Linked DNA regions of Anolis sagrei. The protein of the gene in region 2 interacts with the protein of the main gene of each other region in a biochemical or structural test. Links are inferred from orthologs where the notes say so. Each region holds a gene or a part of one and is shown on either strand. Other genes may lie near its edges. The genes, in order: APBA1, HTR2C, SNTA1 and LIN7C.

Region 1 (6,876 bases), on a different chromosome or scaffold from region 2:
CAATTCTGTTCTCTGTTCGCAACCATGTAGGTGCAAAATGTATCTGGGGAGTGGGGGAGGTCTATTACCAGTCATACAGGTGTGCAATTTATTATTATTATGGATTATGATAATAATAATACTTTATTTCTAACCCGCTCTCTCTCCACAAAGGGACTCAAGGCAGCTTCCAAAGACAAAAATGGCAAACATTCAATAAGAGAGATCCTCTGGAGCAGAGGAGATATAGGCTCTCATTTTGCTCTCTACTACCAACCATATAGTCCCTCCAGGGGTGAGAAAAGCGGTATATAAATACTGTAAATAAATAAATATAGGTGTAACATTGATCCATATGGAGGGAGAAATCTTTTGGAGCAGAGGGGAAATAGACTCTGATTTAGTTCTCTACTACCAACCATATAGGAGTAGCACTGATTCCTATGGAAGGAGAGTCCCTTTGGAGCAGAGGAGAAATGGGCTCTAATTTAGTTCTCGACTACCAATCCTACAGGTGTAACACTGATTTCAAATAGAGGGAGAGATCCTTTGAAGCAGAGGAGAAAAAGGCTCTAATCGATTTGCCCCAAAGAAATGGGAAATTATTGTTTCCATTTGATGTTTGATGTTCTGTTTATGTCTATTATAATAGGCTGTGCTTTTTATTTAATTTAGTTTGTTAAGTTATAATTCGTATTTATATGTTGGGTTGTATAAATTTTGTTAGTATGGATGTATTGTTGTATTCAGGCATTGAATGTTTGCCTTTTATATTTGGAATTTGCCCTGAGTCCCTTTGGAGAGATAGAGTGGAATATATATAAAGTTTTATTATTATTTTATCTAATTTTGTTCTCTACTACCCACCATATAGGAGTAGCACTGATTCATATGGAGGGAGAGTTCCTTTGGAGCAGAGGAGAAATGGGATCTGATTTAGTTCCCTATAGGGTTGTTTTTTTTTGTCGTGTCAAGAGCGACTTGAGAAACTGCAAGTCGCTTCTGGTGTGAAAGAATTGGCCATCTGCAAGGACGTTGCCCAGAGGACGCCTAGTTGATTTTATGTTTTTATCATCCTTCTGGGAGGCTTCTCTCATGTCCCCGCATGAGGAGTTGGAGTTGATAGAGGGAGCTCATCCGCCTCTCCCCGGATTCAAACCTGCGACCTGTGGGTCTTCAGTCCTGCCAGCACAGGGGTTTAACTCATTGCGCCACCAGGGGCTCCAAACCCTATAGGTGTAACACTGATTCATATGGAGGGAGAGATCCTATGGAGAAGAGGAGAAATAGGCTCTGATTTTGTTCTCTACTAATCATACAGGAGTAACATTGATTCATATGGAGAGGGAGATCCTTTGGAGAAGAGGAGAATTAGGCTCTCATTCTGTTCTCTACTACCAACCCTATAGGTGTAACATTGATTCATAGCGAGAGAGAGATCTTTTGGAGAGGAGGAGAAATAGGCTCTGATTTTGTTTTCCACTACCAACCATACAGGAGTAACACTGATCCATATGGAGGGAGAGATCCTTTGGCGCAAATGAGAAATATTCTCTGATTTAGTTGATTTAGTTTTCTACTACCAGCCATACAGGTGTAACACTGATTCATATGGAGAGATCCTATGGAGCAATGGGCTCTGATTTAGTTACCTACTACCAGCCATATAGGTGTAACACTGATTTATAAGGAGGGAGAGATCAATTGGAGCAGAGGAGAAATAGGCTCTGGTTCTATTCTCAACTACCAACCATACAAGAGTAACACTGGTTCACATGGAGGAGGAGATCCTTTGGAGCAGAGAATTAGGCTCTGATTCTGTCCTCTACTACCAACCATATAGGTGTAATACTGATTCATATGGAGAGAGAGAGAGATCCTTTGGAGCAGAGGCTCTGATTTTGTTCTCTACTACCAACCATCTAGGAGGAGCACATGGAGGAGATCCTTTGGCGCATATATGTGTAACATTAATTCATATGGAGGGAGAGATCCTTTGGAGCAGCGTTGAATTTGGCTCTGTTTCTATTCTCAACTACCAGCCATATAGATATAACATTGATTCACATGGAGGAGGAGATCCTTTGGAGCAGAGGAGAATTAGGCTCCGATTATGGTCTCCCTCCACCACCAACCATATAGGAGTCACATTAATTCATATGGAGGGAGAGATCCTTTGAAGCATAGGCTCTGATTCTGTTCTCTACTACCAACCATCTAGGAGTAGCATTGATTCATGAAAGAGAGCACTCCCCTGGAACAGATTCCAATTTTGTCCTCTATTATGAAGCATGTAGGTGTCAATTTTATTTATATGGAAGGAAGCTGAGGAGAAACAGGGCTCCAATCCATATTACCAACCACACAGGTGTAAAGAAATATTCATTTTGGAGGACAGCGAGATCTCTCTGGAGTAGAAGAGAAACGGGCTCCAATTCCCAACCATTTAGGTGTAAGGCTTATTTGTAGTAAGGAGGGAAATCTGGAGCAGAGGAGAAGCAGGCTCCAATCTCAATCTCTCTCCTTCTAGGTTTCCAATGCACTGCTATGGAGGCATGCAAGCACACCCCCGCATGCATCCAGGCCCTCTTGCTTGGCAGGGAGATCCCCATTTTTCCCCCCTCCAACAGCACCATTGATGATCCCTTTCCCCTCCAGTTCCATGCACTGAATACATACAGAGGCAAGCAAGGCAAGCATGCATCAAGTCCTTCCCCTCCTCCCAAGGCCCCTCTTCAGCTTCCTTTCCATCTCTTAGAAGATCCCCGTTGTTAGCTTATCCATTGATGAGCTACCCATTGATTATTTCTCTCCCCTCGCCCCCAAATCAAAAGGAAAAAAAAAGAGAGGAGGGTTACCTTCTTTTTCCTTCCTCCAGGGAACCTGCGCATCGAGGGGGGAATCTGGATCTGGATGGAGGCGGAGGTTAGAAAAGGGAGCCCAGGCAGGCGCGCGCCCTCTTTCCCTCTCGCGCGCGCTGCGGCCGCCTCTCCACCATCTTCACCCTCCTCCTTCCTCCTCCTCTTCTTCTTCCTCCTCCTCCTCCTCCTCCTCCTCCTCCGCAGCCCACCCGCTGGAAAGCCAGCAAGCCCCGCCCCTCCGGCCCCTCCCTGGGCCCGCCCCTCCGGCGCCCGCGTGACTCCCGGGCCTGGCAATGAGGAGGAGGAGCTGCAAGGCTTGCAGCTGCAAGGAAGGACATCTCTGCAAACGCAAAGCAAGGCCAGCACAATGTGGCTGCGGGAGGAAACAGGAGGAAGAGGAGGAGGAGGGACTAGGCCCGCTGACCAGCTACACCAGGCATGGCCAAACTTCGGCCCTGCAGGTGTTTTGGACTTCGACTCCCACCATTCCTAACAGCCTACCGGCTGTTAGGAATGGTGGGAGTCGAAGTCCAAAACACCTGCAGGGCCGAAGTTTGCCCCAGTGCTGTGGCTTCCTGGGATTTGTAGTTTCATAAGGTCCTTTTTAGCCCTTTCTCAAAGACTTCAGAATAGGCCCTATCAATGAGAGACCTCTAGGGTTGTATCTATGCTGTAGAGCAGCGTAGGGACATCCGTAGGGAGACCAAGGTGCTTGTTTATAAAGCTATTGTCCTCCCAACCCTGTTATACACCTGCGAGAGGTGGACTGTCTACAGACGTCACATGCAGCTCCTGGAACAATTCCATCAGCGCTGCCTCCGGAAAATCCTGCACATCTCTTGGGAAGACAAGTGGACAAATGTCAGCGTGCTGGAAGAAGCAAAGACCACCATTAACTCCATTTGTCCGGCCACGTTGTCCGGATGCCTGACCACCGTCTCCCAAAGCAGTTGCTCTACTCCGAACTCAAGAATGGAAAATGGAATGTTAGTAGGCAGGAAAAGAGATTTAAAGATGGGCTCAAAGCCAACCTTAAGAATTCTGGCATAGACACAGAGAACTTGGAAGCCCTGGTCCTTGAGTGCTCCAGTTGGAGGTCTACTGTGAGCAGCAGTGCTGTAGAATTTGAAGAAGCACGGAAAGAGAAAAACGTGCCAAGAGGAAGGTGCGTCAAGCCAACCCTGACCAAGACCGCCTTCCACCTGGAAGGCAATGCCCTCACTGCGGGAGAACATGCAAGTCAAGAATAGGGCTCCACAGTCACCTACAGACCCACCGCCAGTACACTGATCCTGGAGGACTATCCTACTTGGACAATAAGGGATCGCCTAAATCAAGAGGAGCATTTCTCAACTTGGGGGTCGGGACCCCAGGGGGAGGTGTCTTGAGGGGTTGTCAAAGAGGTCACCAAAGACCATCAGATAACACAGTATTTTATGTTGTTCATGGGGGTCCTGTGTGGCAAATTTGGCCCAGTTCTATCATTGGTGGGATTCAGAATGCTCTGTAGGTGAACTATAAATCCCAGCAACTACAACTCTCAAATGTCAAGGTCTATTTTCCCCAATTCCACCAGTTTTCACATTTAGGCATATTAAGTATCCGTGCCAAGTTTGATCCAGATCCATCGTTGTTTGAGTCCAGAGTGTTCTCTGGATATAGGTGAACTAAAACTCCAAAACTCAAGGTCAATGCCCACCAAACCCTTCCAGTATTTTCTGTTTGTCATGGGAGTTGTGTGCCAAGCTTGGTTCAATTCCATGGTTGGTGGAGTTCAGAATGCTCTTTGATTGTAGGTGAACTATAAATCCCAGCATCTACAACTCCCAAAAGACAAAATCAATCACCTCCCCAACCCCACCAGTATTCAAATTTTGGGTATTTGTGCCAAATTTGGTCCAGTGAATGAAAATATATCCTGCATATCTGTTATTTACATTACTATTCATAACAGTAGTAAAATTACAGTTACGAAGTAGCAATGAAAATAATGTTATGGTTGGGGGTCACCACAACATGACGAACTGTATTAAGGGGTTGCGGCATTAGGAAGGTTGAGAAACACTGCTGTAGAGATACAGGCCTGGGCAAACTTGGACTCTCTAGGTGTTTTGGACTTCAACTCTATGTGTGTGTGTGTGTGTGTACACACACACATATAATAAAAGTGAAAATATGTATGTGTGTATGTGGCTGGAGTGTCTACTTATAAAGACTAAACTTCTGCCTTCACAAACAGCTCTAACTCCCAACTACCCAGGACACACCGATGGCCCTCCCTCCAATAATACTGCAGGTTATACTGAGTGCCTAAACATGTGCAAGAGGCCTGCCAATGTCCTCCACAAACATCATACTGCCCACCACCCAAGTGAATGCTTTCATATGGGGGCAATTTCATCCTAGATGTTATGTGTTTCCTCCTCCACAGACATCCCACTGTTTCTTACTCTCTCCATTGGTGTGGAATTTGCATGACCCCACCCATGGCCTCTCCCTTAACCCTTTCCTATTATTTTATATGGCACACAGCAAACAGGAATTGATCAGCAGCTGAACATACTAGAGGGGAGAATTCACCATGATTTATAGGAGTTGTAGGTACTGGGATATATAGTTCACCTGCAATCAATGAGCACTCTAAATTCCACTAAAGATGGAATCAGACCAAACTTGGCACACATCTTTGGGGGAAGTTCACCTTGATTTGGGTGAGTTGTAGCTTACCTACACCCAGAGAGCACTATGAACCCAAACACCGATGGATCTGGACCAAACTTGGCACACATACCCAACATGCTGAAATTTGTTTACTGGAGAGGTTTGGAGGGAAATTGACCTCTCTTTCTGGGAGTTGTAGTTCATCCACAACCAGATAAACTATGACCCCCACCAGTGATGGACCTGGATCAAACTTGGCACATAGAATGCACATGACTAACTCAACCTACTGGAGGGGTTTGAGGGGACTGACTCGCCATAGTGGGAGTTGTGGTTTACCCTACAACCAGAGAGCACACTGAAGCCAACCGATGATATATCTAGAGCAAATTGTGGTGATCGTTTTGCTGTCTGTGCCCCTGTTCAGCAAATTTCACCTCATTTTCTGTCTGATAATTAGATTTAAAAAACTTTGGCTTGTTGTGGAAACATTTTTTTCCTGTGTAAGGAGCGATTTGAGAAGCTGCAAGTCACTTCTGGTGTGAGAGAATTGGCTGTCTGGAAGGACACTGCCCAGGGGATGCCCGGATGTGGAGACCCCTTTTCCCCATGGTGGACTTTTCTTCCTAGAGGCAGATTTCTCTCACTTCCTGTTGTCTCATCCTCATTCTTAACTACTGGTGATTTATTAGTCAGATGTTTGTAACTTAGGGACTGCCTGGGTTAAATATTTAAGAGAAGTTAAAGACTAACACTTCAACTCTATGCATGCTTGTGTAGAAGTCCTACAGTGTTCAGTGAGGTTACTCCTTATAAAGTGTGCATAAGACTGTAGTCTAAAAACTATACAATATCTCAATATACAATATCTCAATATATGTTATTTCCCACAGTCACCTACAGATGTGAGAGCTGGAACATAGAGAAGGCTGAGTGAAGGAAGATAGATGTTTTTGAACTGTGGTGTTGGAGGAAAGTTCTGAGAGTGCCTTGGACCGCAAGAAGATTCAACCAGTCCATACTTCAGGAAATAAAGCCTGACTGCTCATTGGAGGGAAGGATAATAGAGGCAAAGATGAAGTACTTTGACCACATCATGAGGAGAAAGGAAAGCTTAGAGAAGACAATGATGCTGGGGAAAAGGAAGGAAAAAGGAAGAGGGGCTGACCAAGGGCAAGATGGATGGATGGGATCCTTGAAGTGACTAGATTGACCTTGAAGGAACTGGGGGTGGTGACAGCAAACAGGGAGCTCTGGCATGGGCTGGTCCATGAGGTCACGAACAGTCGGAAACAACTGAACGAATGAACAACAAATTTCAATATAAAATTAAGCGTACAATATTCTCCCTTAAAAACAATTTTCCATAGTGTAT
Region 2 (7,258 bases):
TGAAAGCCTTCGAGGGTACATTATGTTCCTTTTTATCTGCGACTTCCACTTGCTTTGTTGTGATTGTGTTGGTGTATGCCAGTAAAGGCTTGGTTGTGTTAGAAAATATTAGAAAATATTAGAAAATAATAATAATAATAATAATAATAATAATAATAATAAATGTTTCCACTGTAGAGCTTGGGTTGTGTGTCCCTTTGGTGTACCTCACCGAAACCCCCCAAAGGAATGGTTTTGGCATCTCCAAGATCCTCCAATTGGTGCCTGGGCTTCTTTCTTCTATCCCAGCAATGAACCCGTTCCAGTCTACTGGTGTAAGTCTTTTCAATGCTAATCAAGGTGATTAATTGCAACATTCACACCTGACTCCAGCAGACAAGAGTTCTTTCTCCCACCCTGAACCTTCCACAGATATATCAACCTCATTTGCCTAGTTTCCAACAGACCTCACAACCTCTGATGTTGCTTGTCATAGATGTGGGTGAAATGTCAGGAGAGAATGCTTCTGGAACATGGCCACACAGCACAGAAAACTCACAATTCAATTAAGACTCACAATTCAATTAAGACTACGGTGTCCTGGAAGGGCCAAGAGAGCCACTGGGATGCCTTGGGGGTGAGGAAGTATACACTGAAAGGACCCCTCGTTCCTGAAGTCCCATCATCCTCCAAGTAGGGCTTCTTGGAGGGAAAGGTAGGCTTCCTGTTGGCTTGCAGAGCCTTCCCATGGCTATTCGTTCCATGTATTGTCGAAGGCTTTCACGGCTGGAATCACTGGGTTGTTGTATGTGTTTTCAGGGCTTTGTGACCATGTTGCAGAAGCATTCTCTCCTGACTTTTTGCCTGCATCTATGGCAGGCATCCTCCGAGGGTTCAATGTATTTCATGGCTGGAATCACTGGGTTGTTGTGCGTGTTTTCTGGGCTGTATTGTCATGCTCCAGAAGCATTCTCTCCTGACCTTTTGCCCACATCTATGGCAGGCATCCTCAGAGGGTTCAGTGTATTGTCAAAAGCTTTAATGGTCAGAATCATTGGGTTGTTAGGTGTGTTTTCCGGGCTGTGTGGCCATGTTGAAGAAGCATTCTCTCCTGTCCTTTTGCCTGCATGTATGGCAGGCATCCTCAGACAGTTCAATGTATTTTCAAAGGCTTTAATTGCCAGAATCATTAGGTTGTTGCGTGTGTTTTCTGAGCTGTATGGTCATGTTGAAGAAGCATTCTCTCCTGACCTTTCGCCCACATCTATGGCAGGCATCCTCAGAGGGTTCAATGTATTGTCGAAGGCTTTCATAGCCGAAATCAGTGGGTTGTTGTGTTTTCCGGGCTACATAGCCACATATCCTCTGAAGATGCCTGCAATAGATGCGGGCGAAACGTCAGGAGATAATGCTTCTAGAGCATGGCCATACAGCCCGGAAAACATACACAACAACCCTGTGATTCCAGCCATGAAAGCCTTCGACAATACATGAAATGAATCGCTGGGTTGTTGTGTGTTTTCCGGGCTGTATCGCCATGTTGCAGAAGGATTCTCTCCTGACCTTTCGCCCACATCTATGGCAGGCATCCTCAGAGGATTCAATGTATTGTTGAAGGCTTTCATAGCAGGAATCACTGGGTTGTTGTGTGTTTTCTGTGTTAACCTCTGAGGATGCCTGCCATAGGTGCAGGCAAAACATCAGGAGAGAATGCTTCTGGAGCATGGATAGACAGCCCAGAAAACACACACAACAACCCGGTGATTCCAGCCATTAAAGCCTTCGACAATACATGAAATGAATAGCTGGGTTGTTGTGTGTTTTCCGGGCTGTATGGCCCTCTTGTCGAAGGTTTTAATGGCCAGAATCATTGGGTTGTTGTGTGTTTTCCGGGCTGTATGGCCATGCTCCAGCTGTATGGCCATGCTCCAGAAGCATTCTCTCCTGACCTTTTGCCTGCATCTATGGCAGGCATCCTCAGAGGGTTCAATGTATTCTCGAAGGCTTTCATAGCGGGAATCATTGGGTTGTTGTGTGTTTTCTGTATTAACCTCTGAGGATGCCTGCCACAGAGGCAGGCGAAATGTCAGGAGAGAATGCTTCTGGAGCATGGCCATACAGCTGGAGCATGGCCATACAGCCCGGAAAACACACAACAACCCAATGATTCTGGCCATTAAAACCTTCGACAAGACATTAAACCCTCTGAAGATGCCTGCCATTGATACAGGCAAAAGGTCAGGAGAGAATGCTTCTGGAGCATGGCCATACAGCTGGAGCATGGCCATACAGCCCGGAAAACACACACAACCACCCAATGATTCTGGCCATTAAAACCTTCGACAATACATTAAACCCTCTGAAGATGCTTGCCATAGATGCAGGCAAACGGTCAGGAGAGAATGCTTCTGGAGCATGGCCACGCAGCCCGGAAAACAGCAACCCAGCTCTTCATTCCTCCAAGTGTGGCTCTTCCAAGAGGGAAAGAGACAGAGGGAGGGAGGGAAAGCAACCTGTAGGAATCACCCTCCCCCAAACCTCGCAAAGCAATGCGCCTCCAAGCGCAAGGAGGCGAGAGACACGCGTTCCTGCCCGCATTCACACACCAGGGATGCCCCCAAATCCATCACTCAGTCCTTCCTTCCCTTGCAGCGCCGCGAAAAGAGGCAAACGTAGGGCTATTTCCTAGCCAAACCCGACGCGGGAGCCTACCTGGCAGGGTTGTCGCCCAACGCTTGGGGGGCTCTCCTTTGGGGGCTCCTCTTGGCCATGGCCGCCCCACAAAAGAGGGAAAGGAAGAGGCAGAGAGAAGCAGCGGCTCCGTTCCTCTCTCCAGCCGCCAGTGGGGATGAGTGAGTGACCCACCAAAGGAAAGAGGGAAGGAGGGAAGGAGGGAGGGAGGAAGAGAGCGGGGGAAAGCGCCTCTCCGCGTCTTAAAGGCGCCTCCTCGACCACCTCCAAAAGCAGCAGCCCTGCTTCCTCCCTCCAGAGAGAAAAGGGGGGGGGGCTGCTTCGAGGAGGAGCTGGGCTGCTAGGAGGGATCTCTCCCGCCTGCAAAGAAGGATTCGCCCATCCTCAGTCTTGATAGGGACAGATTGGAACGGCTCCCACATTGAGGAATCATAGATTCCTAGAGTGGGAAGAGACCTCCTGGGCCATCCAGTCCAACCCCATTCTGCCAAGAAGCAGGAATATTGCATTCAAAGCACCCCTGACAGATGGCCATCCAGCCTCTGTTTAAAAGCCTCCACTACAGTCCCCAGGGAAGCAGAAAACAAGCTTGCTCCCTCCTCCCTGTGACTTCCTCTTACATATTTATACATGGCTATCATGTCTCCTCTCAGCCTTCTCTTCTTCAGGCTAAACATGCCCAGCTCTTTAAGCCGCTCCTCATAGGGTTTGTTCTCCAGACCCTTGATCATTTCAGTCGCCCTCCTCTGGACACATTCATAAAATCATAGAATCAAAGAGTTGGAAGAGACCTCATGGGCCATCCAGTCCAACCCCCTGCCAAGAAGCAGGAATATTGCATTCAAATCACCCCTGACAGATGGCCATCCAGCCCCTGTTTAAAAGCTTCCAAAGAAGGAGCCTCCACCACACTCCAGGGCAGAGAGTTCCACTGCTGAACGGCTCTCACAGTCAGGAAGTTCTTCCTCGCGTTCAGATGGAATCTCCTCTCTTGTAGTTTGAAGCCATTGTTCCGCATCCTAGTCTCCAAGGACTAGGCCTATGTTTCAAAACCTCCAAATCAGTGTTTCTCAACCTGGGGGTTGGGACCCCTAGAGGGGTCGCAAGGGGATGTCAGAGGGGTAACCAAAGACCATCAGAAAACACAAAGCATTCCCGACAGATGGTCATCCAGCCTCTGTTTCAAAGCCTCCAAATCAGTGTTTCTCAAGCTAGGGGTCGGGACCCCAGAGGGGTCGCAAGGGGGTATCAGAGGGGTCACCAAAGACCATCAGAAAACACAAAGCATTCCCGACAGATGGCCATCTGGCCTATGTTTCAAATCCTCCAAATCAGTGTTACTCAACCTGAGGGTCAGGACCCCTAGAGGGGTCGCAAGGGGATGTCAGGGGTGTCACCAAAGACCATTAGAAAACACAAAGCATTCCCAACAGATGGTCATCCAGCCTCTGTTTCAAAGCCTCCAAATCAGTGTTTCTCAACCTGGGGGTCAGGACCCCTAGAGGTGTCGGAGGGGTCACCAAAGACCATCAGAAAACATAAAGCATGGGAAAAGGGGGATAAAGGGTTAATCTCTAGATTATACAAATACATACTAAGCTATAACATGGACAACAACAGAGTCAAGACAGTAATGTTATCCTGGGCCAAGGACCTAGGCAGACCAATAGAACTGGACAAATGGAAATACCTATGGAACAAAGTATTCAAATTTACTTCATCGGGTTCAATCAGGGAGAATCAATACAAAATGTTTTATAGGTGTTATATCACTCCAGCAACATTGGCTAAAATAGACAAATCACAACAAGGTATTTGCTGGAGGTGCAGGAAACAGAAAGGGACATTCCTCCACATGTGGTGGACCTGTGTGATCATACAGGAATTTTGGGATAAGGTAATTAAGGAGACAAATAAAATGTTACATAACAAGATTTAAAAAAAGCCCAGGACTGTGTCTGCTAGGTCTACAGAGAGAAAACAATAATCAAAAGGACCAAGAAATATATCAATATAGCTTTGCAGCGGCAAGATTGACCATAGCCAAAGATTGGAAAGGGGGAAAAGGTCTAACCAAAAAGGATTGGAGAGAAAGAATGCGAGAATATATGCTAATGGCCAGACTAACTTATAACAGGAGGAATAAGAGTAATGAGGACTTTCTAGAAAAATGGAAGTTGGCCATGGCATATCTGAATAGAGAGTCAGTAATATAGAGGCCAGGAAATCAGAAGACGCTTACTTCTTGGGAGGAGAGCAATGTCCAGTCTCGACAAAATAGTAAAGAGTAGAGACATCAGACTGGCAACAAAGATCCGCCTAGTCAAAGCCATGGTATTCCCTGTAGTAACCTACGGATGTGAGAGCTGGACCTTAGGGAAGGCTGAGCGAAGGAAGAGAGATGCTTTTGAGCTGTGGTGTTGGAGGAAAGTGCTGAGAGTGCCTTGGACTGCGAGAAGATCCAACCAGTCCATCCTCCAGGAAATAAAGCCCAGCTGCTCATTGGAGGGAAGGATAGTAGAGACAAAGTTGAAGTACTTTGGCCACATCATGAGGAGACAGGAAAGCCTAGAGAAGACAATTATGCTGGGGAAAGTGGAAGGCAAAAGGAAGAGGGGCCGACCAAGGGCAAGGTGGATGGATGGCATCCTTGAAGGGACTGGACTGACCTTGAAGGAGCTGGGGGTGATGACGGCCGACAGGGAGCTCTGGCGTGGGCTGGTCCATGAGGTCACGAAGAGTCGGAGACGACTGAACGAATGAACAATATAGAGGAGCTCCATTAGGAATTTAGGTTTACCATGAATAAGGAGAGATAAATAGGCTTAAAGGCTTCATAGTGTTTCGGTGTGGGAAGCCATGGTGAAGGGTGCACGGGTGTGGGGATGAGGGTTTATTTTGTTTAGGATAGGGGTTTTGAGATGAGTGTAAGGTCTGTGGTATGTGTGTAAAATGCCATGTGCTGTTTTCCTGAGTGTTATGGAAAAAATTTAATACAAAGCTCTGACTGAAAGCAGTGGAAAACAGGCAGAAATAGCAAGTCTATGTGTATTAAGATATGTAAATGATAATAATTTGTAATTAATGACAAAATTAACTGATTGATTGAATAAGGTAGATAGGCATGTACACGTCAAAAATAGTGGTACCTTATTTTATCTGCCATGTTTTGCTTTTCTGTTATGTACCATAATCAAAATAAACAGTTTTAACAAAACAAAAAAAGAAAAAGAAAAGAAAACACAAAGCATTCCCGACAAATGGCCACCCGCCCCTGTTTCAAAGCCTCAAAATCAGTGTTTCTCAACCTGGGGGTCGGGACCCCTAGAGGGGTCGCAAGGGGGTGTCAGAGGGGTCACCAAAGACCATCAGAAAACACAAAGCATTCCCGACAGATGGCCATCCAGCCTCTGTTTCAAAGCCTTCAAATCAGTGTTTCTCTACCTGGGGGTTGGGACCCCTAGAGGGGTCACAAGGGGGTGTCTGAAGGGTCACCAAAGACCATCGGAAAACAGTATTTTCTGTTGGTCATGGGGGTCTCTGTGTGGGAAGTTTGGCCCAATTCTAACCTTGGTGAGGTTCAGAATGCTCTTTGATTGTAGATGAACTATAAATCCCAGCAACTACAACTCCCAAATGTCAAGATTCTATTTTCCCCAAACTCCACCAGTGTTCACATCTGGGCATATTGAGTGGGTGAGGTGATAGTCCTTTGTGATATTAGGGTTTTTCTCAGTGACCCCTTCTTGCTGCCAAGCAGGGAAAACACAAAGCCCTCCCGACCTTGTTCCCTTTCTGATGGGAAATGGAACTTTGTAAAAGGAAAAAGCTGGCAAAGGCACCACTAGAGATTCCTGGCCTTTGAAAACCTAAGGCCGAATTGAGAAGAGGTGCAAAACTTATTTCACAGTAAAAGACTTTGCAGAGAGGAAAGAGGAGGGGCGAACTTTTCAAATACAAATGAAGTACAGAAAGATGCATTGCATTTTATAGTGTATCATGGTTACATACATAATCTATACGTAATGGCATTGAGTGACTAAAAATACCTTGACAAAAAGAAAGGCAAGATTATGATAAATGTTATACAATTAGGTCACCTTTGTATACTTTATGTAAACACGCACATATACAGCATATACAGTATACACATACACACATGCTTGTTAAGAGCCTTGATAGGACAAAATATTGTAAGACTCTCTCCCATTGTAGGGTTGGGAAGATTTCTTTCAAATAGGATATTCATGTTTGATTATTATGATTAATAAAGGTTGTCCCCTGACTTTAAGTCCAGTCATGTCTGACTCTGGGTCATCTCCATTTCTAAGCCGAAGAGCCGGCGTTGTCCATAGACACCTCCAAGGTCATGTGGCCGGCATGACTGCATGGAGCGCCCTTACCTTCCCGCTGGAGCGGTTCCTATTGATCTATTCACATTTGCATGTTTTCGAACTGCTAGGTTGGCAGAAGCTGGGGCTGACAGCGGAAGCTCACCCTGCTCCCTGGAATCGAACCTGCGACCTTTCGGTCAACAAGCTCAGCAGCTCAGCGCTTTAACCCACTGCGCCACCAGGGGCTCATTATT
Region 3 (7,813 bases), on a different chromosome or scaffold from region 2:
GAACAGAACTTTCCGACCTTTTTAACCTTCAGAAGGCACACTATAAAACCACAACTAAGAACCTGAGATTTGATTGTATGTGGTTCCAAAGGAGTAAGATATATATATAATCATTATTATTTTTATATATTAATTTTATATATATTCTACAAAACATGATTTCTATATATAAGTGGCAGTGACAGTACATTTTGTAATGAAATCACAGTTCAGATTGAAGAAGACACACTCAAGAATGGGTTCACACAAATCGGAATCCACAGGTGCACTTTCTGGGTGGAAATGTCACTGCAATCCCACATCCGCAGGGAAGCCTGAACATCCCTACCCAGCACCATTCCTTGGGTGGGAAGCTCAAGCAACACCCTTTGCCTGAGAAAGAGGCATATGGCAAGTGCTTGGGATGCCTGGGATGGGCAGGAAGGGTGAAGGAAGGCAAGGCCTTCCAAGGGGGAATCAACACTGCAAGCAGCTTGACACCACCTTAACTGCCAAGGCTCAATGCTATGGAATTCCGGGGGTTGCAGTTTTCAAAAAGGTCCTTAGCTTCCTCTTTGGCTGCTTTGAGTAAATGTTTTCTCCTGACATTAAGTCCAGTCGTGTCTGACTCTGGGGTTGGTGCTCATCTCCATTTCTAAGCCGAAGAGCCAGTATTGTCTCTAGACACCTCCATGGTGTTGACGCAGGCTTTCATGGTCAGAATCACTGGGTTGCTGTGAGTTTTCTGGGTTGTATATCCATGTTCCAGAAGCATTCTCTCCTGACATTTCACCCACATCTATGGCAGGAATCTTCAGAGGTTGTGAGGAAACTAGGCAACTAGGTTTATATATCTGTGGAATATCCAGGGTGGGAGAAAGAGCTCTTGTCTGCTGCAATTGGCCAGCTTGATTGGTATTAATACTTCTCAACATAGGATCCCCCCAGGCAGGAAACATCCAGGCCTTGAAGCTGTCAGGCTATTCAATGCTAATCAAACTGGCCAAGTACGACATTCACACTTGCCTCAGACAAGAGTTCTTTCTCCCACCCTGGATATTATTCCAGAGCTATATAAACCCAAATTGCCTAGTTTCCAACAGACCTCACAATTGGGTTGCTGTGAGTTTTCTGGAACTGTATGGCCATGTTCCAGAAGCATTCTCTCCTGACGTTTTGCTCAAATCTATGGCAGGCATCCTCAGAGGTTGAGGGGTCTGTTGGAAACTAGGCAAGTGGGGTTTATTTATCTGTGGAATGTCCAGGGTGGGAAAGAATTTTTGTCTGAGGCAGATGTGAATGTTGCAAATGGCCAGCTTGATTAGTATTAACACCTCCCAATATAGGATCCTCCCAGACAGGAAACTGCCAGGCCTTGAAGCTTCTAGGCTATTCAATGCTAATCAAGGTAGCCAATTGCAACATTCACACTTGCCTCAAATAGACAAGAGTTGGGTTGTTGTAGGTTTTTCAGGCTGTATGGCCATGTTCCAGAAGCATTCTCTCCTGATGTTTCACCCACATCTATGGCAGGCATCCTCAGAGATTGTGAGGAAACTAGGTGAGGTTGTATATATCTGTGGAATGTCCAGGGTGGGAGAAGCAACTCTTGTCTGTTTGAGGCAAGTGTGAATGTTGTAATTGGCCAGCTTGATTGATATTAACACCTCCTAACATAGGATCCCCCCAAGCAGGAAACAGCCAGGCCTTGAAGCTTCCAAGCTATTCAGGGCTAATCAAGTTTGCCAACTGCAACATTCACAAATGCCTCAAACAGACAAGAGTTGGGTTGTTGTAGGTTTTTCGGGCTGTATGGCCATGATCTAGAATCATTAATAGAATCATAGCGTTGGAGTAGACCTCATGGGCCATCCAGTCCAACCCCCTTCCAAGAACCAGGAAAATTGCATTCAAAGCACCCCTGACTGATGGCCATCAAGCCTCTGTTTAAAAGCTTCCAAAGAAGGAGCCTCAACCACACTCTGAGGTAGAGAGTTCCACTGCTGAACTGCTCTCACAGTCAGGAAGTTCTTCCTAATGATCAGATGGAATGCTTCTAGAACATGGCCATACAGCCTGAAAAACCTACAACCCAGTGATTCCGGCCATGAAAGCCTTGGCAATACACACAAGAGTTCTTTCTCCTACTCTGGACATTCCAGAGCTATATAAACCCCACTTGCTTAGTTTCCAACAGACCTCACAACTGGCTTGTTGTGAGTTTTCCGTGCTGTAAAGCCATGTTCCAGAGGCATTCTCTCCTGACGTTTCAACGTCACAACCTCTGAGGATGCCTGCCACAGAAGTGGGCGAAACGTCAGGAGAGAATGCTTCTGGAACATAGCCTGGAAAATTCACTTTCCCATGTTCTCAAGGGCAATTCCCCCTTTCCTTCTCTTCTCGGGAACTTCTTCCAAGGGGGGACTTCTCCTCCAGCGCTTTCCTGGCGCAGCTGGGAAGGAAACAAACTTAGTCCGGATCCCGTTGGCAAGGGGCTAAACTAAAGAAAGCAGGTTTAAAAGGGGCTCCAGAGGGTGAAAGGTTAGCTAGGCGATCAAGGGGGAGAACGGGCAGAGAGCGACCTCTCGGGGAGCCCCAGAAAAGAAGAGGAGGAGAAGGAGACCCACCTTTGATGCTGATGCCAAGGCCGCCCACGTCCTGCTTGACGATCCGGACGGTGCGCTTAATGTTGGTGAGGGCGTCCGGGACCAGGGCGGGCGGCGGGTCCCCGCCATTCAGTTGCCCGGGGCTGGACGGCGGCGTCTCCTCGGGCCCTTTCCCCGCTCCTCCTCCTCCTCCGCCGGGACTGACGCTCAAGAAGTCTTCGGAAAGAGCCAGCAGGACCCGCAACCACTGCTCGCCCGGCGCCCGCAGCTCCAGCAAGCCGCTCTTGGGCGCCCGCCGCCCGGCCGCCATCTTCAGCGCATTCCTTCCTCCCTCTCTCCCTTCCTTCCTTCCTTGCTTCCTCGCTCTGCCTTCGGTGGACGGACTCCGGCTCCAGCCCCGCCGCCTCTCCGCCTCTCCGCCCACCGAGCAACGCCCCCGGCGCCTCCCGCCCCGCGCCTCCACACCGAGGAACCAACGCGGGTTGGCACCGCTTTGCACTGCTAAGGCTCCATGCCCTGGAATCCCGGGAGCCGCACTTGGGCAAGGTCTCGCCCAATGACAACTGCCCTGATGCCACAGCGTCGAGCTAAGTAAAGCAGTGCCAGGGGTGACAAACGGCATCGTGTTGCTCAGCCTTCCTAATGCCCCGCGACCCCTCAACACAGTTCCTCAGGTTGTGCTGACCCCCAAACATCACATTATAATTGTCATTTTCCTACTGTTATGAATCATAATGTGAATATCTGAGATGTAGGGTGTATTTTCATTCACTGGACCAAATCTGGCACCTGGTACGCCCAAATATGAATACCACTGGGATGGGGGAGGATTGATTTTGTCATTTGGGAGTTGTAGTTGCTGGGATTTATAGTTCACCTACAACCAAAGAGCATTCTGAACTCCACCAAGGATGGAATTGAACCAAATTTGGCACACAGAACTCCCTCTTCCAACAGAAAGTACTGGAAGGGTTTGGTGGGCCTTGTATTGTGTCTGTTATTGCTTGTATTGATGTATTACGGGCTCAGCCTCATGTAAGCCGCACCGAGTCCCATGGAGAGATGGTAGCGGGGTATAAATAAAGTATTATTATTATTATTATTATTATTATTATTATTATTATGGGCCATTGGCCTTGAGTTTTGGAGTTGTAGTTCACCTACATCCAGAGAGCACTGTGGACTCAAACAATGATGGATCTGGACCAAACTTGGCACAAATACTCGATATGTCCAAATGTGAACACTGGTGTTGTTTGAGGAAAATAGACCATGACATTTGGGAGTTGTACTTGCTGGGATTTATAGTTCACCTGCAACCAAAGAGCATTCTAAACTCCACCAACGATGGAATTGGGCCAAACTTGGCACAGTGACTCCCATGACAAACATAAAATACTGGAAGGGTTTGGTGGGCCATTGACCTTGAATTTTGGAGTTGTTGTTCACCTACACTCAGAGAGCACTGTGGACTCAAACAATGGTGGATCTGGACCAAACTTGGCATGAATACTCAATATGTCCAAATGTGAACACTGGTGTTGTTTGAAGAAAATAGATGTTGACATTTGGGAGTTGTAGTTGCTGGGATTTATAGTTCACCTACAATCAAAGAGCATTCTGAACTCCACCAACGATGGAATTGTGCCAAACTTGGCACACAGAACTCCCTCTACCAACAGAAAGTACTGAAAGGGTTTGGTGGGCCATTGATCTTGAGTTCTGGAGTTATAATTCACCTATATCCAGAGAGCACTGTGGACTCAAACAATGATGGATCTGGACCAAACTTGGCACAAATACTCGATATGCCCAAATGTGAACACTGGTGTTGTTTGAGGAAAATAGACCTTGACGTTTGTAGTTGCTGGGATTTATAGTTCACATACAATCAAAGAGCATTCTTATCCATCTAACCCCATTTCTTATCCATCTAACCCCACATCCGTGAATCCAACCCCCATGGTGTCTGACGCCCCTCAATGTGGATCACATAACTACCCAGCAACTACCCATATGTCTTCTTTCATAAAATCTCTTTGTGGAAATCTTCAAATCTACCTTTGTCTTCTTTTCCTGATGTCCAAGTGCCAGCCTCCATTTGTTTGCAAATCCTTCATTATTTCTTCCTCTGCTACTATTTGTCAGCTTGGCCATTTGGATAGAATCTACTAATTTATCTCTCCAATCTTTGATAGCGAACTCTTTTTCCACCCTTCCATGTTTTAGCTATTATTAGTCTCACAGCAACAAAGCAATATTGATAAATTTCTTCATTTCTTGTGCAAATACACCTTCTAAATAGTCCTACTAACCACATTTCTGGGTTTTCCTTGACCTTTTTGTTAATCATATTGTTTGTTTCTTTCACCACCTTTTTCCAGAATTCTTGAACTATTTTACAGGCTTTCCCTTTCATCTCCAGTTTTGGGAAGCAGCGTTCAATGCTGACCACAGGGAGTTACTTTTATTCCATTTCCAAGCTGAGTAGCCTGTTGTTTATAGACACCACCTAGTTTTGTTGCTGGCATGGCTGCATGGACGCCTTTATTACCTTCCCGTCAAAGCGATACCTATTGATCTATTCACATTTGCATATTTTTGAACTGATAGGTTGGCAGGAGCAAGAGCTAAATTCAAACTCTACTGTCCTGACTAAACAGAACAAAGTGCAGCCTCCCAATTTTACTGTGTCCCAATTCCCATCAGGCCTAGTCATGTTTAAATGAGGGATGAGGGATGCAGTAATTGTAGTCCATCTGGAAGAGGGTCACATAAAATAGTTAGGCCTTTGGGCCTTGAATTTGACAGGTGGAATAGATGCAGCCAAGATATCTGGTGGAAGAGTAGGGATCTGTCTGCTTGACCTTTGGAGATTTGGAGATTTTTTTTTCATTTCTGGTGTGACATTGCTCAGGAGACGCCCAGATGTTTTACTATCCTGTGGAAGGCTTCTCTCATGTCCCTGCATGAAAAGCTGGAGCTGATAGATGGAAGCTCCCTGGATTTAAACCACTGACATTTCAGTCAGCAGTCCTACTGACACAAGGGTTTAACCCATTGCGTCGCCTTTGGAGATGCCCAGGGGCCTGAAATGGCCCCAAACAAGGCAGGCAGAGAGGGGCAAGGTGGCAGAGCTAAAAACTCACAAATAATAATCAAATCCACACAAAAGAAACCCACAAATATATACTGCCCTGTAAGATCTCCTGGTGGCACACAAGTCAAATCAATTTAAAACTCTTCAAATCAATGAACCTAATTCAAACAGTCTTTTAAAAAACCCAATATGATGAGGGGCAACTTTATTTTGCCCTATAACATCTCAGAGTGATACACACGTTCAACCAGACATGGGCCAACTTGGGCCCTCCAGGTGTTTTGGACTTCAACTCCCACAATTCCTAACAGCCTCGGGCCCTTTCCTTTTCCCCTCAGCCACTAAAGCCTGAGGCTGTTAGGAATTGTGGAAGGTGAAGTCCAAAACAACTGGAGGGCATAGGTTTGCCTGCGTTACACCAATTTTAAAACTCTTTAAAACAAGAGTCCTCATTTAAACAGACTAAAATATATATTCAACACTTTCAACGAGTCAAAAATAGATTTAAAATACTAAAACGTTCTAGCTATGGGCTTGAATGTGTTAGAAATAAATCAACATGGCTCCAAAGGTACTAATAAACAGCCATGGTTGACATTGTGCTGAAATGAAGCCTTCATTGGTCCTCCAAAAGAAGGGCATTCCACAATTGAGGTGCTCCCCCACCCCCCACCCCCATATCTTTCCACAACATATTGATCAGCAAGAGAGGAAAAGGCCCTTCTAACAGAGCTCAAACACTGAAAAGTCTTGATAAAATGAAAACAATCCTTTTCAAGAATTCTTTTGACTTGTATAGACGGTGGGTGCTTCTGTTGCTGCTATTGTTTAGATTCCGTGTTTAGAATGTTTTGCACTTCAGGAAATATTTCTGTGGTTTTATTTTTCTTTCTGTACACCACTCCCAAAAACATAATGTTACTGGGCAGTGTAAACATGGTCTGAATTACCACAAGAAGGTCTGTCCTCCGCTAGGAGAAAACTCCCTGTGGATCTGGGTTGTTGTAGGTTTTTCTAGAACATGGCCATATATCCCGAAAAACCTACAACAACCCAGTGATTCCAGCCATGGAAGCCTTCGACATTACATTCCCTGTGGATTGTTCTGTTTCCCTCCTTGAATGGCCTGCCACAGGCAGATGCATTTGTCAGAGGAAAATAGGTACACTTGTTGTTTGTCACTAACCTTAATAGTAGCTCTTTGTTGTGCCAATAACAAATGTTAAGAGCAAGCAGCTTCCATGACATTTTACAGCTGGAACTCCCCATTTGAGTTTGAAAATGTATTTTCCTCATTATCTTGAAAATTTGGAGAGCTTAGTATAGTGAAGTAAAGGTAAAAGTTTCCCCTGACATTAAGTCTAGTCGTGTTTGACTAGGGGGTGCTCATCTCCATTTCTAAGCCAAAGAACTGGCATTGCTCATAGACACCTCCTAGGTCATGTGGCCAGCATGACTGCATGGAGCACAAGCTACCTTCCCACATTTGCATGTTTTTGAACTGCAAGGTTGACAGAAGCTGGGCCTATCAGCGGGAGCTCACCCCGCTCTCCAGATTCGAACCACCAGCCTTTCGGTCAGCAAGTTCAGCAGCTCAGTGATTTAACCCTCTGCGCTACCAGGGGACTAATTATTATTACCAATTAGTATTTTTTTTGTCGTGTCAGGAGGGACTTGAGAAACTGCAAGTCGCTTCTGGTGTGAGAGAATTGGCCATCTGCAAGGACGTTGCCCAGGGGACGCCTGGATGATTTTTGATGTTTTTGTCATCTTTGTGGGAGGCTTCTCTCATGTTCCCACATGAGGAGCTGGAGCTGATAGATGGAGCTCATCCGCCTCTCCCCAGATTTGAACCTGAGACCTGTCGGTCTTCAGTCCTGCCGGCACAGGGGTTTAACCCACTGCGCCACCGGGGGCTCAGTACCAATTAGTATAGTAATTAGTATCATATGGGGTCTGTAAGTTCAAATTAGCACTTGGCTATGGAGCTCATGGGATAACCAGGGCTCACGTGTTATCTCACAGGATGGTTGTAAGGATGGAGGCATTTGGGGAACACTGATCCATGTTCCATGGATGAAGAACTGAATAAACATTTGTCATAAACATTTTGTGTCAAATATAGTAC
Region 4 (6,924 bases), on a different chromosome or scaffold from region 2:
GATGGAATTGAACCAAACACACAGAAGTCCCATGACCAACAGAAAATACTGGAAGGGTTTGGTAGGCATTGACCTTAAGTTTTGGAGTTGTAGTTCACCTACATCCAGAGAGCACTGTGGACTCAAACAATGATAAATTAGGACTAAATTTGGTGTGGATATGCAATATGTCCAATTGTGAACACTGGTGGAGTCTGGGGTAAACAGACCTTGGCATTTGGGAGTTGTAGTTGCTGGGATTTATAGTTCGCCCACAATCAAAGAGCATTCTGAACTCCACCAATTATAGATTGGGCCAAACTTTCCACACAGAACCCCATGACCAACAGAAAATACTGTGTTTTCTGATGGTCTTTGGTGACCCCTCTGACACCCCCCTCACAATCCCCCAGGGGTCCCGACCCCCAGGTTGAGAAACGCTGCAATAAAGGCATTTCAATGAAATACTATTAGAATCTTACTGATGTACAAACTGTTAAAAAGTAGAACAGAAATCCCTTTAAGGTGGTTGATTCAGCTGCATCTGCATGGCCATGTATCAGGGAGGCATCTACTGAGGATTTTATGCATCAGGAGAAGTTAAGATTAAACTCTGAGTCTATGATCTCATACATTTTAATTATTTATCTACTGAAATTTTAATTCTCCATTCTTTATCCACGGCTCTCAGGATGACACATAGTAAAATCCATGTTGACAGTTTACAACATTTGAAAATAATAAAAGCAATTCGAATAGACCTAAAACACATTAAAGGATCTGACAAGTTAACACAAGTTTAAAACCAGTCAAAGCAGTTTAAGACCATTTAAACCATGCAAGTGCACAGGTATATCCATTTAATAAACTAGCCCCAAAGGCTCTGGCACAAATGTTTTCTCTTCGTATGGGAGTGCCACCACCACCAGTGCCAAATGGCTTCTAAGAAGGAGAGTACAATTAGCCCTTCACATCCACGCACATTAGGGATCCTTGCAAAAATGGAAAACCACTGCTAAGACTGCTAAACTCTTCCACAAACATGCATCCTTATGGAGCCACCAAGACACTGCTGCCAGATTTTTAATGCCCTTTCTCCAGTCTCCAGTGACTTTCTCTCTTTACTCCTCTTCCTCCCAGTTCTCCTCCCTGGATCACATGTCCTTCCAAAAGCACTGTCAGGTTTTAAACCCCTTGCAACCCCGCAACCCATTCAAGTATCAAGGTTTGTTTTATTACTAGCAACTTGAATTCAGAAAAAAACATACTGGCAGGCAATGCAATTCCTTTAGAAACAGTGTGAGCTGCAAGGCCATGCAAAGCTAATCTGGCATGGGCAAATCTTTTCAGGTGTTGTGGAATTCGGAACTAAAATTGGAAGTTTCCCACTTCCGACTTGGGTTCTGATGTACAATGGTGAGTTGGAAGACCCCTATAGATCCGAAGTGACCCGGGCTATTGATTTCAATGGTTCGGAAGTCAATTCGGATGTCTGACTAAGTTAGCCTGCTGGGAGGTGCAGCCTAAAGTGCTTGCCTCCTAGCCAATCAGGGATTACGTTTGAAAATAAGAGGGGTTATCAACATATGGCTTACTGGCTCATTGCAGGGCAGGGATGAGAGTGGTTGTTGGGTGTTTTTGCTGCTGCTGTTGACTGGGTGGATGGAAGGGGAGGCAAGGCGATAGGCACTGCAGCCCACACTTTGAAGGTTTGAACAAGAGAAGAAGGGAGAAGGGGGGAAGGAAGAAAAGTTTTGGAGAGAGAAAGAGGGAGAAAGAAGATTGAAGAAAACATTTGGGAAGGAGGGAGAAAAAATTAATCAAGCATGAGAAGACTTTGAGTGCTGGGTTTTTTCTTGGGGTTCAAACAGCCTGCCTTTTGCCTTTGCTTGTTGCTTGTGTTGGATAATATATCCCATTAGTCCTACTGCACCCTCGTGGTCTGCCTTCCTCATGCCTGAGGGAATGCATCCAAGTTATTTCTTTTGGGGGGTCCACCAGCCTGCCTTTCGCCTTTGCTTGTTGTGATCCCCTATTACCTTATGTCTTTTCTGAGAAAATTCAAGGAGGCAGCTCTTTTTTAAAAAAAGAAAATATTTTTGCAATTCTTTAAAAAAAACTCTTAAAAATCAGTGGATCATGTGAACATGTTCAAATTTGGTATGCTAACAGAGGAGGATGTGTTCTACCAGTATATCAATAGAATTGGTCTAAAAATGAGGGAGAGAGAAGCCCCTGAAGTTTCCCCAGTGCCAGTGCTGTTTTTCCCTCATTGCGCAATCATGTCCGCCATTAATGAATCAATTTGGAAGTTTCGGAAAGTTTCATTTTTTTAAAAAAAAAAAATTCAGAAGTGACTTTAGATTCAAACCACTAGTGTCCCCTACTTTTGAACACAGTTTAGAACCTTTTATTTTATTTTTTTTAGATGGCCCATGCCTATCAGGGTTGCTAATTGCAACATTCACATTTGCCTCAAACAGAGAGTTCTTTCTTGCACCCTGGACATTCCATCTATCTGTCTATACACATAATAAAAGTAAAAGTGAAAATGTGTCTGTGTGTATGTGGCAAAGATATCCACCTAAAAAAGATAACATCCTGCCTCCTGCAGTGCTAAGGAGCCACCAGAGCTCCTTAGCACTCCCTCCAGGGACATTGCAATGAGCACCATGAACGTGTCCAAAAGCCCTGCCAATGACCTCCACAAACACCATACTGCCCCCCGCTCAAGTGAAGGCTTTCATATTGGAACAATTTCATCCTGGATTTCATGTTTTTCCACCAGAATGGACATCCTAGGATTCCTTTCTCCCTCCATTGCTGTGTAATTTGCATGACCCCACCCACTGCCTCTCCCTTAACCCTTTCCTACCCTTTCGTATGGTTTGGAGAGTAGTTCACCCTGCACCCAGAACACTGAAACCCACCAATGACAGAGCTGGACCAAACATGGCATACAGTACCCTGGTGACCAACTGAATATATTGAAAGGGTTTGGTGGAGGACTATCCCACCTGCGTGGGAGCTGTAGTTCACCCTGCACCCAGAAAGCATCCTGAAGCCCCAATGGGAGATCTAGAACAGTCGCCTTCGGGCTGAGAGTGGCGGTTAACAAGTGCAAATAATAAATAATAAATAATAAATAAATAGAACAAACGTGGCACACAGAACCGTGATGAGCAACAGAACATACTGGAAGGGTTGGAGGGGGAATTACCCACCTGTGTGGGAATTGTAGTTAATCCTACATCCAGAACCCCATCTATGTCAGATCTTGACCAAACTTGGCACACAGATCCAACATGCCCAACGGTGAATAAAGGCAGAGGTTGTTTTTTGGGGGGGAGGGGATTGCCCTGGGAATCTGGGAGTTGTAGTTAACCCTACATCTAGAACCCCATCAATGACAGATCTTGACCAAGCTTGGCACACAGATCCAACATGCCCAACTGTGAATACAGGCGGAATTTGGGGGGGGGGGGGTGATTGCCCTGGGAATCTGGGAATTGTAGTACACCTGCATCCAAAGAAACGGTGACCCTTACTGACAATAAAGCGGAATCAAACTTGGCACAGAGAAGCCCAATGAGCAACCGAACATACTGCAGGCTTTGTGGGAATTGGCCTTGATTGTGGGAGTTGTAGTTCACCTACACCCAGAGAACTCTGTACCCAGCCTGGTGTAGATATACGCCTTGTAACACTTCTCCAGCTCCCAGGACTCCCTAGCATTGAAGCAGGACAGCTACAGTAGCGACAGTAATGTCAGACTGTGTCAATTGCACAGCGTAGCTGCCCCAGGTCCTCTCTTTGCGCGCAGCACGAGACTGAACAGGGGGGAAGCCCTTGGTCAGTTTGCAAAAGGCGCTAAGGCCGTGCAAAGGGCGTTTTGCAAAAGGAAGGGAGGCGGGCCGAGCCCATCCTCTTCCTCGCAGCAGCTCCGCCTCGCCCGGGCGTCACTTCCCCGGGAGGAGAGAGGAAGAGGAGGAGAAGATGGCGGCGCTGGGGGAGCCTGTACGCTTGGAGAGAGGTGAAAACCGAGGGGGGCGGGGGTTGGTGGGGTTTCCCAGCCAGATACTCAGTCAGTCAGTCCGGGGAGGATCCGCAGAGCAAGAGGGGCGCGCGCGCAGGGCGCAGAGCCAGAGCTCTTGTTTACAAGGCAGTCGTTTAAAGGACGGTCGCAGCGCGTGGGGCTGATCAGGAAGCAGCTCTTAGGACCCTTGTCTCCCAGCTAAAGACCCAGTGAAAGTGCAGCCAGTATAGCCCTGATCCTGGATGTTTGGGACCAGCAGTGTTTTGGATGTCTGATAGATAATTCCCCCTCCCCCGCCAGATTTTGGAATATTTGTTGTTAGAGGCAATGCCACTCTGGGTTTTTGTGAGTTTTCCAGGCCATGTTCCAGAAGCAGTCTCTCCTGACGTTTCGCCTGCATCTATGACAGGCATCCTCAGAGGTTGGGGAAGTCTGTTGGAAACTAGGAAAATGGGGTTTATATATCTGTGGAATGTCCAGGGTGAGAGAAAGAACTCTTGTCTGTTGGAGGCAGGTGAGACTGTTGCAATTGACAACCTTGATTAGCATTTAATAGCAGATAGGTAAACCCCAATTGCCTAGTTTCCAACAAACTTCACAACCACGGAGGATGCTTGCCACAGATGCAGGCAAAATGTCAGGAGACAATGCTTCTAGAACGTGGCCATACAGCCCAAAAAACCTACAACAACCCAGACCTCACAACCTCTGAGGATGTTTGCCAAAGATTGAGGTGAAACGTCAGGACAGAATGCTTCTGGAACATGGCCATACAGCCCAGAAAACTCACAACAATCCAGTGCCACTCTGTAAGTAGTTTATAGGCTTACCAGGAAAGGGGGGGGGGAGACTGTTGCCCTAAATTCCTCTATTCCAAGACCACCAGATTTCTGAGAACTCCTTGATTCATATTATTTAATAGTTGAAAACATGACTTCTCTCTGATTCTCTCCCTCGTCATAGTAAGTGCTACAGGTTGAGTATTATCCGAAATACTTGCCTTCAGCATTGGGTGCCTTTTTTTTCACTCTCCAGATTTTGCCATACCTGTTAGTAGCAGTGTCAATGGGGGCATCTACACCAGGAATCTACACTTGGGACCTTCAGGCGTTTTGGACTTCAACTCCCACAACTGGCTGTTTGGAATTGTGGGAGTTGAAATCCAAAACACCTGGAGGGCCCAAGTTTGCCCGTGTCTGATCTACACCATAGAATGTATGCAGTTTGGCACCAGTTTAACTGCTACAGCTCAATTCTATTGGAAGCATGGCAGATGTAGTTTTACAAGTTCTGTAGCCTTCTCTGCCAAAGTGCTGGTGACTCACCAAAATGCAAATCCCATGATTCCACAGCATACAGCCATAGCAGTTAAAAGTGGTATCAGACTGCATTAATTCTACAGTGTAAAAGCACCCGATATCACTCTGTCAGCAGTTTATAAGCTTATATATTAGGAAAGGAGCAGAAACAGACCATCAGATTTCTAAGAACTCATTCATAGAATCATAGAATCAAAGAGTTGGAAGAGACCTCCAGTCCAACCCCCTGCCAAGAAGCAGGAATATTGCATTCAAATCACCCCTGACAGATGGCCATCCAGCCTCTGTTTAAAAGCTTCCAAAGAAGGAGCCTCCACCACACTCCGGGGCAGAGAGTTCCACTGAGAGTTCATTGATTAGTATTATTTAATAGCGCAAACATTTCCACTCTCATATCTTCACTTTCATTGTGTGTATACTATTACAGTAAAAGTAAAGGTTTCCCCTAACATTAAATCCACTTGTGTCTGACTCAGGGGAGTGGTGCACATCTCCATTTCTAAGCCAAAGAGCCGACGTTGTTCATAGAGGCCTCCAAGGTCATGTGGCTAGCATGACTGCATGGAGTGCTGTTACCTTCCTGCCGAAGCGGTACCCATTGATCTACTCACATTTGCATGTTTTCAAACTGCTAGTTGGCAGAAGCTGGGGCTAATAACGGGAGCTCACCCCACTACCCAGATTTGAACCACTGACCTTTCAGTCAGCAAGTTCAGCATCTCGGCATTTAACCTGCTGCACCACTGTGGGTTTCATGTATACTACTACACATTGAGTATTCCTATTCACACATGTTCAAGATCAGAAATGTTTGGGATTTTGGAATAGTTGCATTTGCATGTACATACGTAAGAGGATATCCTGGAGATGGGACCCGTCTAAACATGAAAATCATGTTTAGACTTTACACATAGCTTGAGGATATTTTTTAATAATTTTATATATGAAACCCAATTTGTGTAGACTGAAACATCAATGTTTTTAATCATTTTATGCATGAAACAAATATTGTCCAGATTGATTGAATCGTCCGGAAGCAAAGGTCTCACTATCTCAACCAGATTATTCCAGAGATAAGTGAGGTCCAACCTGTCCTGTATTGGTTTAAGTTGAAGTAGCAAAGTGCTCTTCTATGAAATTAAAATCCATACATTACATGAAATACACAATAGCCCATATACAAATATAGGCCACCCCCCCCCCCCCAATGTATGTACTCTTTAACAGTTAATTGTAGCTATGGTGATTATGAGCTTCCAAATTGATCAAAGGTCTAGAAACGTAGCCCTATGAGGAGTGATTTAGGGAGTTAGGTATGTTTAGCTTGGAGAAAAGGCTGGCAGGGGACATGATAGCCATGTTTAAATATTAGAAAGAGTGTCACATGGAGGAGGGGGCAAGCTTTTTTTTCCTGCTGCTCTGGAGACTATACTATACTGATCACTTAAGTCAGTTTCAAATTGGTATTGAAGAAAATAGTTTTGCTGTGCAGATGATTACATAGGAATTCCTGTCTGAAGCCTAGATGGTGATGACACAAACCACAGAGCACTGATGTACATTAAGGACTTTCTTTTGCACAGTTTCGTG

What was found.
Region 1: the proteins of HTR2C (region 2) and APBA1 form a complex in vitro, tested with the Homo sapiens proteins (2 studies listed by BioGRID and IntAct, with this or other methods). The link is inferred for Anolis sagrei from reciprocal best matches to the Homo sapiens genes HTR2C and APBA1.
Region 3: the proteins of HTR2C (region 2) and SNTA1 interact in a test that uses a peptide from one of them, tested with the Homo sapiens proteins (2 studies listed by BioGRID and IntAct). The link is inferred for Anolis sagrei from reciprocal best matches to the Homo sapiens genes HTR2C and SNTA1.
Region 4: the proteins of HTR2C (region 2) and LIN7C form a complex in vitro, tested with the Homo sapiens proteins (2 studies listed by BioGRID and IntAct, with this or other methods). The link is inferred for Anolis sagrei from reciprocal best matches to the Homo sapiens genes HTR2C and LIN7C.

What each region holds. Positions count from the first base shown.
Region 1 is NC_090022.1:222,038,592-222,045,467, forward strand, and holds the start of APBA1 (amyloid-beta A4 precursor protein-binding family A member 1), read right to left. Parts: upstream 3,018-6,876; 5' UTR 2,838-3,017; intron 1-2,837. UniProt on the Homo sapiens protein: Putative function in synaptic vesicle exocytosis by binding to Munc18-1, an essential component of the synaptic vesicle exocytotic machinery. May modulate processing of the amyloid-beta precursor protein (APP) and hence formation of APP-beta.
Region 2 is NC_090030.1:22,079,837-22,087,094, reverse strand, and holds the start of HTR2C (5-hydroxytryptamine receptor 2C), read right to left. Parts: upstream 3,001-7,258; 5' UTR 2,692-3,000; intron 1-2,691. UniProt on the Homo sapiens protein: G-protein coupled receptor for 5-hydroxytryptamine (serotonin).
Region 3 is NC_090024.1:208,951,777-208,959,589, forward strand, and holds the start of SNTA1 (alpha-1-syntrophin), read right to left. Parts: upstream 3,015-7,813; 5' UTR 2,896-3,014; coding exon 2,607-2,895; intron 1-2,606. UniProt on the Homo sapiens protein: Adapter protein that binds to and probably organizes the subcellular localization of a variety of membrane proteins. May link various receptors to the actin cytoskeleton and the extracellular matrix via the dystrophin glycoprotein complex.
Region 4 is NC_090021.1:260,813,152-260,820,075, forward strand, and holds the start of LIN7C (protein lin-7 homolog C), read left to right. Parts: upstream 1-3,907; 5' UTR 3,908-3,975; coding exon 3,976-4,012; intron 4,013-6,924. UniProt on the Homo sapiens protein: Plays a role in establishing and maintaining the asymmetric distribution of channels and receptors at the plasma membrane of polarized cells.